Drosophila melanogaster: one gene and its partners. The protein of the gene in region 3 interacts with the protein of the main gene of each other region in a pairwise test. Each region holds a gene or a part of one and is shown on either strand. Other genes may lie near its edges.

Region 1 (3,756 bases), on a different chromosome or scaffold from region 3:
GAAGCCCAGCATCCGCTTGGGCTTCTCTGAGCTCGAGGATGACGAGGATAGATCCAGGACAGGCAGATGCTGTGCCAAATTCTCAGGTTGAGGCGAACTCAATGCCTGGTTTGGCACCGAATGTGAAGTGGCTGGTGAGGTGGTCACCACCACCTCCTTGGTGCTCTGCTCGCTGTGGCTCTGGAGGTGACTCTTGAGGTTGGCCCGCTGGTTGAAGCTCCGCTGGCAGATGGGACACTTGTGCGGACCCTCCTCCAGATGGGTGACCTTGTGCACGGCCAGGGTGCGCGACTGGCAGAAACCCTTGCCGCAATCGCTGCACTTGAAGGGCTTGTCCTTGGAGTGGATGTACCGGTGGTCCCGCAGATGATCCTGTCGCCGGAAGGCTTTGCCGCAGATGTCGCAGGAGTAAGGCCTCTCGTCCGTGTGGGTTCTCTCATGGATGAGCAGATTGTACGACTTGGTGAACTGCCGGTTGCAGTACTTGCAGATGAACTGCTTCTTTGGCCGACTGCTGCCAGTTGCGCCGCTGGGTACACCACTCGCTCCACCGGCACCACCCAGTTTCAGGGTGGGCATGGCTCCGAAGTGGCGACCCATGACCGCGGCATGCAGACTATGGAGGCCAGCGGGATAGGGACGCACATGATGCGGATGTGGGTGAGGGTGGTGCGGATGGCCGTGGTGGTGATGATGGTGCGGATGTTGCTGCTGCTGCTGTTGCTGCTGGTAGATGGCTGCGTTGCGGATCCAGTGGTTCATCAACTGCTGGTGCACGGCCACGGGATCGGCGCTGGCTGTGGGATAAACTGGATACTGCTGTGGAGCCTGATGTTGTTGCTGCTGCTGCTGCATCTGCAGCCACAGGCGGTGCTGCTGCTGCTGTTGCTGCTGTTGTTGCTGCTGCTGGTAGTGGGCCATGTGTCGCATGTGCAGCTGGGTGGCCACCGCCTCCTCGCTTATCGCCGGATGCACTCTCCTCAGCGGCTCCTCGGTGGGCGTGTGCGGGGGCGTCAGCATGGGGGAGAGACTTGTCTCGCGCTCCTCCTTGATCACTATGAAATCCTCTTCAGCAAAGTCTAAAAAGGAAGGAATAGAAATGCCCACGGTTAGTTTTCAATTCATATAAATGCAATGCTATGTGAGACTACTTTCAAATATTAATGGAACATTTTTTGAAACTAGTCAAAAAGTGCTAGAGAGTAATGCGCTTTGCCGTCGGCATTTGCCAAGTTGTTCTGAGCCAGTTTTGAACTTGAACCCACCTTGTTCTCTGCTTAAGTTGAGCTCGTCATCCACGGTTATGTTGCTGATGGGTGAGGCCGATGTGGAAGACATTATACTGTCTTTGTTGGCCTTGTGTAGTTTTATTTGGCTTAAAATTGTTTAGTTGCGCGAACTGCACGGTTCACTTTGGCTTAGCACTTGTATCTACGAATGTATCTTTTCTCAGTATATTTCCCAGCTGACTGAGCGTTCTTTTGGATGCGACGTGCCACCGACAACGTCTCGACACAAACTGAATTCGTTGGCCGTTCGCCGCTCTCCGACTCAAACGCTTGAGAATCGAAGTGAAACGAGGCGAGTGGAGTGCTGATATTCCTGTCTCGCTTCCACGTTTGAGTGACTCGTGTTGCTGTTGTTAGTGTTGCTTTTGCTTTTGCTTTTGCTGCTGCTGCTGCTGCCGCTGAGCGATGTTGCTGTTGGGAGTAGCGCTCGTTAATAACTGACTGCAACTGCTGGCAGGGCGACCCGTTTTTGAACCGGCCGAGAAGTGCGGAGGAGGGCGACGAGGGTGGCGAGCGGCCCGACCAACGGCAGCTGCCTGTGGCGGGGTTGAAGTTGTTTGGAAATGGTAGATACGTCCACGCCTACCTGCTGCTCTCGGATTGGCCCTCAGCGTTCGGTATCTACTATCCCATGGATGTGGCTCCGACCGAATGTGCCTGTGGATGTGCATGGATATATGTGCCTTGGCTTTTTCCGTTCCAGCAGTAAGCAAGCGGAAACCGTTGGCCTGACGGTCGCAAGCCTGGGATATTGTTGGTGTTGCTGCTGCTGCCGATGTTGCTGCCGTAGTTGCTGCTGCTGCCGTTGCCGTTGCTGCTGCTGCTGCTGCTGCTGCTGTAGCTGCTGCTGCTGCTGCTGCTTCTGCCGCTGATGGCAGGCAGCCATCGCTGGAGTCCAGCCCGCATCCCAGTCCCAATCCCGAAACGCAGCCCTCCCAGGCGCATGTGCCATCAGCAGGAGCAGCAGCTGCACGAAGGTCCTGTGTCGTCCTGGCGCGTCCCTTCCACCTCCATTGCCATGTCCATACCCATTCCGCGCCAGCTCTCGCTGCTCCTCGTGCCTTTTTAATGTCGTGCTGTCTGCGCCGCAGGATATTGTAATCTATTGTCCCTGTTTGTGTTTGCGCCTGATTCGTTTTCACTTAAATTTTAATTTGCAATACAAATCAGTTTTTTTTATTCCCCCCCATTTTGCTTTACACTTTAATCTGGAATTCAATTAGCCGCTTCAAAGCGATGGCGATAAAAGTTTCGAGTGGGTGGAAACGGCCGTTTGTAGCGAAAATTGATTGGCTTTTAAAAGGGTTTCCGGCAGGATAAGCCGGACATATTTTACAGCAAATTAACGACGAGTTTGAGGTAATGGTAATGTAATTGAAAGACTTTATTAAAAGGATTGTACACAATTACTGGTTAGTTTTGGGTATGCCTTTCACACACCATTTATTTTCGAGTTTTTTTAATTATTTTACTCAGTATTGTATTTATTGTAATTCAGTTGTTTAAGTAGTTGTTAAGTAATAGTTGAACTTTCACCGTTTTCAACTGAAGTGCGACTCGAGCTTGTCAAATCATCTTTAATGAGTTCCTCATTCGAAATGCTTCATGCTACTCACTTGGATAATTATTTAATAATTTGTAATTGAATCGAGACAAGCAGGTGCACTTTATGGGCAGTTTTCTTAACATATTTTGAAGGAAATTGCTTGGAAACTAGAAATAGGTAAAGTCATAGGAAAAGGTTAAAAGATATAAGTTCTGCGGGTTGAATGTTTCCAATCAAAATTTATTGAAGCATCAAATTAATGTAGTTGTTATTTATAGGATATTGTAGTTAAATATCTTTACAATTTTTATTATTATTATTCGGGCTTCTATATAATTAATATTTTTCATATCTCATTTAAAAAGACAAATATTTCATAGCATTCAAGAAAATACGAATTTTCCTCATTAATGAATAGTTTTAAATTGCACATGCCATATTTATGCTTCCGAATTAAATCCTATTCTTCGGTTGGATTTTCCGCCAACTATAAGATATTTCCCAAGTCCGACAAAACATGGATAATGCATATCCTATTATCCTGCTTCCGAATTCCGTACATTCCCATGACTTTGACTTGTCGACTTTCCAGGTGAAGCATTTCCGCAATGGATCTGCGACTAATCCTTTAACTTGGCAAAACAAGAAACATTCCCATTGACTGGTTTTACCCGTATACGGACTTAGGATCCGAGGATCCTGAGACTAAGCCCATTGCGACACACTCCGTCACAAGCGGTCCTTGGCAGGATTGACTTTGGGTGATTAAATTAAGCAATATGTACACAACATTTAGTACAAACTTTCCCAAGCGGCGGCGAGCCAATGATCAAACAGCCTGAATCAATAGGCAAAGGTCCTGCTGCAGGACGTTTTTTCCCAGAGTGCGTGTGTCTGGAACTCTCGGATTGTCGATTTTTG
Region 2 (3,410 bases), on a different chromosome or scaffold from region 3:
CCAGGGCGCGCTGCTTCTCCCGATCCTTTTCGTCCTTCTTCTGGGCGAGCTTCTTCTCCCGTTCCCGCACTATATCCTCCTGCTTGGCCTTCATCTCGTCGAGGGTGACCAGACCAATGGTCGAGGACTTGAGCTGCTGCTCCACGGCATCGTAGTGGGTGGCAAACTTGTTCTCAATCTTGTCCAGCTTGAGCTCCTCCTCGATCTTCTTCTTGCGAAACTCGATCTCCTGCTGCTGGATCTCCCGCTTCTTCATCAGCTGGGCTGCACGGCCCGCCTCGCTGGCGGCACCTTTGTAGTGGGCCATCCTTAGTTGTTTCTGTATTTATTTATATTTTTTTTTATTTAATTCGTAAACGAAATTTGTAAACATCCAATTGGTGTGACCGTAGCAGAAACATTGAAAAATGCCATTCTTCGTATAAAAAATTTACAGCACAAAACACTACCTTACCAATTTGAAATAATAAAATATTTAATCTTGAAATTATTTAAAATTTACTAGCTGTCCATTCCCCTGATATAAGAGCAAAAAGAAGAGGATCACTATTTCTCTGCAACGATTTTGAAAAATAAAGATAAATCTTAGATTTTTAGCTGTTTTTTTTAATATCCTTTATATTTAGTTACAGTCGTAAGTTTTTCTTTAACTTGCTTCATGCTTTCGCTCAGTGTACTAAATCTACGTTGATCCATTGGAAGATTCCTCCTGTGCCTCGGATTTGTCCTCCTCCTTGCTGTCACCATCGGCATCTGTTCCATCATCGCCAGGTTGGCTTGGATCTGGATTGCTGGAGCTACTGCCGTTGCTCTCGGCCAAATCGTTCTGGTCGAAACCATTCGTGTATTCCGGCGTTGGAGCCGTGTCATTGGCGCTGGGCGGCGGGGTAATCTTCCGCAGCTGCTGACGGGCGGCATGGACGATCTTTTCCAGCTCGACGCACTCCGTCTCGATCTCGTAGTTCTTGGAGACCAGCAGCACCCAATGGGCTTCCAGGGAGCGCAGTCGCTCGCCGGCCTGCGTTTGCGCCTGCTTGCGCTGCCAGTTGACATCTTGAATGTCCTTCTTCAGCTGCTGCAGCTGGAGCTGCGCCTTCGCCTGCATGGCGGTGAAGACCTCCAGGTAGGACTTCCATGCCTCCGTGCCGTAGTCGAGCATTAGCTCCAGGTTGAGAGAGCGCACCCACTGGTGCTCCAGCTGGGCCATCGAGTTCTCAATGGCCTCCTGCCAGGCGGACACCTCCGACAATTTGCCCGATGGCGGCGGTGGCAGTTCGTAGCGCTTCATGGAGAGCGTCTCCATGGGCAGGCGGTTCTGGATGCGCTCGAACTCGTTGGCCATCAGCGGAGTCTCAAAGGGCGAGCTGGCGGGCAGTGGCAGATGGTCAAGGTAATTTTTTGTGGGCCTATAGCGCCGGCATTCCTCCTCCACCATGGCGAGAGCCTTTGGAAGAAGAAGATGCCATTTCAAAGTCAGTTTCAACGTGCAACATGGATATCCGTATATTTACCGATTCCCGGACGCCCACATCGTCATAGCCGTGATCTATGTAGGGCAGAGCATCCACAATAACTTCGCCAGCCATTATTTATTATTAATTTCTGTGTTTTGAGACTGTTTTTTCCGCAAGTAAACAAATACAATTGCCGCTTCGCACTAGTGTGGCACATTTAGCTACTTTATAGCTATATAAACGGATAACAGAATGCTGTTAATTAATAGCCATATATCTATTTAGTAAATTTTTTTGTTTTAACATGAACATTTAAGCAAAAAATAAGCGTTGTTTTCTCACCAATAAAAGTTGTGTAAGTTAGTTTTTAACGTATGTATGTATTATGTATTGTTTGATTATTTATTATGCGGTTAAATTACAACAATTGTATTCTTGTTCTTTAAAAACGCATTGCTAATTTATAAATTTAACTAAAATACGTTATTGATAAATTCGAATTTAGATTTGTAATATTATAGTTTAATTGCGAGAATATAAACAAAAACTTCTCTTACGAGAGAAAAAAAAAGCTAAAAGTGTTGGACAGCGTCCAATTAGCCCTGTAAGCTTGACACTTGCTGCTGTTAGCAAATGCAACCATGCGCCGTGGAACGCGATTGGCAGCCATTTCCGGCAGCTCTCTTTCTTTCTTCGTTCTTCTTAATAAAAAGAGGACGGTATCTGCGTTTGCAGAATATTTAGCACCTTTCATTGGGTTTGAAAATCAACGAAAATGGTGAGAAACGAAGCACAAGGCACTCCGCAACCGCAGCAGACCCCAAAACATTGGATTTAACACACGAAACGATGCGAAAATAGTGCAAAAGTGTCGCCCTAACCTCCACGTGTTTGGAATGTGCGGCGATGGCGAAATGCGCTTGTTGTGTTTTGTGATGTGAAATGATCAGTGAACTAAACCCGAATACCATGTGCACTTTCAGAGCTTAGGCAACGCCAGGCCATTGGTCTCCGTGTACACGGAAAAGAACGAGCCAGCCAAGGACAAGAACATATGCCTGCCGGCAGTGTTCAAGGCGCCCATTCGTCCGGATGTGGTCAACGAGGTTCACCAGCTGCTCCGCCGCAACAACCGACAGGCCTACGCCGTCAGCGAGCTGGCTGGTGAGTAAACTGTTTATAACTCCTCTTTTGTGTGAATCTAACCCGTTTGAATTCCTGTTTGCAGGTCACCAGACCTCCGCCGAGTCCTGGGGTACCGGACGTGCTGTGGCCCGTATTCCCCGTGTGCGTGGTGGCGGTACCCACCGTTCCGGCCAGGGAGCCTTCGGCAACATGTGCCGTGGTGGACGCATGTTCGCCCCCACCAAGACGTTCCGTCGCTGGCACCGCAAGGTGAATGTCAACCAGCGTCGCTACGCCCTGGTGTCGGCCATCGCCGCCTCAGGAGTGCCAGCTCTGGTCCAGTCCAAGGGACATGTCATCGACGGCGTCTCCGAGTTCCCGCTGGTCGTGTCCGATGAGGTGCAAAAGGTCCAGAAGACCAAGCAGGCTGTCATCTTCCTGCGTCGCCTGAAGATCTGGGCTGACATCCAGAAGGTGGGTAACTTTGTACACCTATGAAGAACTTAATCCGAAGAATGTTAGGTCACTTAACTGTGCGTCTATTCAACTTCAACGTATTTATTTAACAAAACGTGAAGTTGTGATGTTTTAATTGCAAAGTTATAACTTTTTATTGGATTCCTACTTTTCGGATGCTTTCTAAATCTTACTTGGCAGCGTGCAAGCAACTGGCTACTCTTCTGGTTGTCCGATGCTTGCAGGGATCTCCTGCGTTGCCAGATAAAATGCTCTTCTTGGCGTTACGATTGAAACTTGATTCACGGCTTCCATCGTGGTAACGGAAGAGCAACAGCTGTTGTATTCATGTTCTCTATTTCCGAATTCCTGGAA
Region 3 (3,756 bases):
ATAAAAAAGAAAGAGATGGATAACCTCTCTTTTTTTGTTCTGATCAAGCAGCCAGTTGAAAACACTGCAATGTACTTTTTACAAAGCTGCTACTGTAATCTGATAATCTATTCAATTCTTCAGATATCATTGAACGAAAGTTATCTGTGAAGATCATAATTGGGTTGTGCGTACTGACTAAGGAGTAAATCCAATGACACAATAATGCATTTATGTTACTAACTGATGTATTTATTGAAAATAATATAAGGGTTCTTTTGCAATGGCCGATCAACGCCTACTTCCACAGCTTCTTGATAGACATGTTCTTCTCCGAGTCCTTCTGCATCACCTTGGCCACAGCCATCTCGAAGTCCTCCTGGGTGACATGGACGCGTCGTTCGCGCAGCGCATACATGCCGGCCTCCGTGCAGACGCCCTTGACTTCCGCACCTGATGCGCCTGGCATTAGCTCGGCGATCTTGCGCAGATTAATGCCACGCGTGAGGTTCATCTTACGGGAGTGGATCTTCAAGATGTCCAGACGCGCCTCCTCGTTTGGTGGCGGGAACTCGATCTTGCGATCAATACGGCCGGGACGCAGCAGAGCGGGATCCAGGATGTCAATGCGATTGGTGGCCATGATCACCTTGATGTTCTTGGTGGCCTCAAAGCCGTCCAGCTGGTTAAGTAGCTCCAGCATAGTACGCTGCACCTCGGAATCGCCGCCGGAACCTGACTCAATACGCGACGAGCCAATGGAATCGATTTCGTCCATGAAAATAATTGATGGTGCATGTTCCCGGGCCATTACAAAGAGTTCTCGAACCATGCGCGAACCCTCGCCGATGAATTTCTGGACCAGCTCTGAGCCAGAGACGCGAATGAAGGTGCACTCGGTGTGATGGGCAACGGCCCTGGCCAGCAAAGTCTTTCCTGTACCTGGAGGTCCATAAAGGAGCACTCCCTTCGGCTGGGCAATACCCAAGGCATCAAACAGCTCTGGATGCTTTACGGGCAACTCAATCACCTCCTTGATCTCTTTAATCTGTTTGTCCAGGCCGCCAACCATTTCGTATGTGGAGTCAGGAACTTTTTCAACCATCATAAGCGAGACCAGCGGATCCACCTTATTGGGCAGAATCTTGTGCAGCGTATAGCTCTCATTGCGCAGGGCCACGCGGCAATTGGGGGTTACGTCGTTGATATCTATGTTTTTGTCCAGATCGACGACGAACTTGCCCTCGGGATGCACCTTGACCAGCACTTTCTTCTTGTCCATGGGCTTCACAACCTCGCCCACATAGCTACCCTGTTCCTGGAGCAGCTGCAGCTCCTCCCGCAGCATCCGAACTGCAAAAGACGTGCTAATTAGGATTGCTTTCTCAAATTTAAAGATTTTTTGATATTAAGACCAAGAACAAGTCTTATATGTTTTCTATATCCTACAGCTAACCAACTATGCACATTATCTACATATGTGTAACAGTAAATTTACCTTTAGCATTGAGCTCATTGCGCTGGGCCTGCAGTCGTCTCAAATTCTGGTGCTTCTCGGCCACCACCAGCTGCAGTTCCTCGATCTTTTGGATGTAGTAGGACCGGAATCCCTCGCCTTTATGGTAGGCCGACTCGATTTCCATCTGCGAAAACATGGAGCATTGGTTTTTCGCGGTGGAAGAGCTGGGGGAATCAAATGTACATACCCGATTCGTCACCGTCATCTTTCGTTTTCTGTTTACACTTTAATTTGTTATTATTTGTCGAACTGAAGGACCACAATGCAAGATGTCGAATTAATTCCTCTTTATTGTATGACTCTGCATTTGCTTTTCGAGATGACACATGCCGGTTATCGCACTGCATTCGGAATATCGATGCCATCGAGCAATCGGCATCGATAAAAACGCTAGGTGGTAAAAAACCTAGCTAAGGTTTTCGAATTAAATGTGTCCAGTAAACAATTAAAATTAAATATAACAAAACACGACCTTACTCGTAGGATTATACCCGTCGTAGAGTAAATGGAGTGTACTAGATACGTTGAAAAGTATGTAACAGGTAGAAGGAAGCGTGTCCGACCATATAAAGTTTATATATTCTTGATCAGGATCAATAGCCGAGTCGATTTGGCCCTGTTCGTCTGTCCGTCCGCATAAACTTCAAGATCTTAGGAAGTTTAAAAGCTAGAAGGTTGAGATTAAGCATACAGATTCTGGAGACAGCGCTAGTTTGTTGACCCAAACCACCCAAAACTGCCACGCCCACTTTTTTAAAAAATGTCTTAATATTTTATTTTTATATTAGTCTTGTAAATTTCTTTCGACATGCCAAAACCGATACATTTTTTCAATTTATTTACCAATTTCTAGACAGAAAAATGATGATATTTCTCTGAGTAACGGTTATCTGATAGTCGGGGAACTCGACTATAGGTTTCTCTCTGATTCGTGGTAAAATACATTGTGTTCTCTCTTGTTTTTGCGTAGCACCAGCGATTTTTAAGTAATGAACTTGAATTAGCCTAATACCGCTGCTAATGAAAAAAATGTAATGTATTTCTAATTAATTGTGAATACTTAATGTGACAAATTCTAAGCTTGAAGGTGTTCAATATTATCTATGAAAATTTCAAAACATTGGGCATGTAAATGCGTAGTCTGAAATAGTCATCAAAATGTGCTTTGAGAACAAAGTACTGGTATGTTTTAAGGCAAAATAAGAATATTTTCAAAATCCCCTGCCGAAAATCAAACTTCTCACACTCAAACCATCCGTTTTGTGCGGGAGTGCAGACCCGCCAACCAATTTCTGTCGTTTGTTAAATTTATATTTTAAATTGTAAAATGCCGGCCAGCAAGGGTCTTCTTTTCAAGCGCTACATCCGCATCGAGTTAAATCTGTGGCGGCGGACGCTCTTCGAGATCGTCGCCCTAGTGATAATGGTCCTAGTGATCTTTCTCAACCCCATCGCTCACTCCAAAAGGCTTCTATACACGACCACCGAGAACGAAAACGAGCAGAGCATCGTGTCCCACAAACTGCAGGACATAAATATATTGACGTAAGTGCATAGTATTCACCTACAACCTTTTGAATGTAGCGCCATCCAAAGGCGCAACTTAATGCTCCTACCTATTTATATGGTTTTGTTACCTTCCGCAGACGCATGGCAGACTCGAAGCGGGAGAAAACCAAGTACATCCTGGCCTTCACGCCGGAAACGACGTTTACATCGGAGGTGACCAAGAATGTGGCCAAAACGCTGGAACTGAGCTCAACCGTGGGCTACGAGAGCGAGTCCGAAATGCAAAATCAGTTCGATGAGCGGACTACCCTGGCGGGCATTGTTTTCAATGATCTGCGCGATGACGGCACTCCTTTGACTCTGTCCATCTCGATTCGGTTTCCCAGCGAGTTCCGCACGATCGCTCCGTTCCTCACCGAGGATCGCCTGTGGATAACCCGCTGTTCGGGTCGCATTAATCCCGGACGGGATCGGGCCAAGCACGATAAGCAGCAGGATATATATATTCGCGAGGGGTTTCTGCAGCTGCAGCACCAGATCTTTGTGGAATGGTACCACCAATTGCGCAAGGACATAGTTAGCACCTATCCAGAACCCAATGTCGAGGTCTACAACATCCTGCTGAAGGCCGCCGACGAGCCGTGCTCCGTGATGAGTGTCGCCCAGCTGCCCACATTCCTTTATAATTTTATATACCTACTGCCCTTTTTGAATATCATCAGAGTAAGTACACCATCTACACCACCTAA

The links.
Region 1: the proteins of Rpt6 (region 3) and odd interact in a two-hybrid assay, tested with the Drosophila melanogaster proteins (one large-scale study listed by BioGRID).
Region 2: the proteins of Rpt6 (region 3) and BCAS2 interact in a two-hybrid assay, tested with the Drosophila melanogaster proteins (one large-scale study listed by BioGRID).

Annotation. Positions count from the first base shown.
Region 1 is NT_033779.5:3,605,021-3,608,776, forward strand, and holds the start of odd (odd skipped), read right to left. Parts: upstream 1,737-3,756; 5' UTR 1,339-1,736; coding exon 1,266-1,338; intron 1,080-1,265; coding exon 1-1,079. UniProt on the Drosophila melanogaster protein: Pair-rule protein that determines both the size and polarity of even-numbered as well as odd-numbered parasegments during embryogenesis.
Region 2 is NT_033777.3:27,920,688-27,924,097, forward strand, and holds BCAS2 (BCAS2), read right to left. Parts: upstream 1,670-3,410; 5' UTR 1,587-1,669; coding exon 1,512-1,586; intron 1,445-1,511; coding exon 683-1,444; 3' UTR 596-682; downstream 1-595. Other genes in the region: CG12259 (uncharacterized protein), read right to left, coding at 1-307; RpL4 (ribosomal protein L4), read left to right, coding at 2,230-2,232, 2,438-2,618, 2,683-3,053.
Region 3 is NC_004354.4:21,314,125-21,317,880, reverse strand, and holds Rpt6 (regulatory particle triple-A ATPase 6), read right to left. Parts: upstream 1,830-3,756; 5' UTR 1,704-1,829; coding exon 1,686-1,703; intron 1,623-1,685; coding exon 1,478-1,622; intron 1,333-1,477; coding exon 278-1,332; 3' UTR 218-277; downstream 1-217. Other genes in the region: CG1801 (uncharacterized protein), read left to right, coding at 2,826-3,043, 3,145-3,730.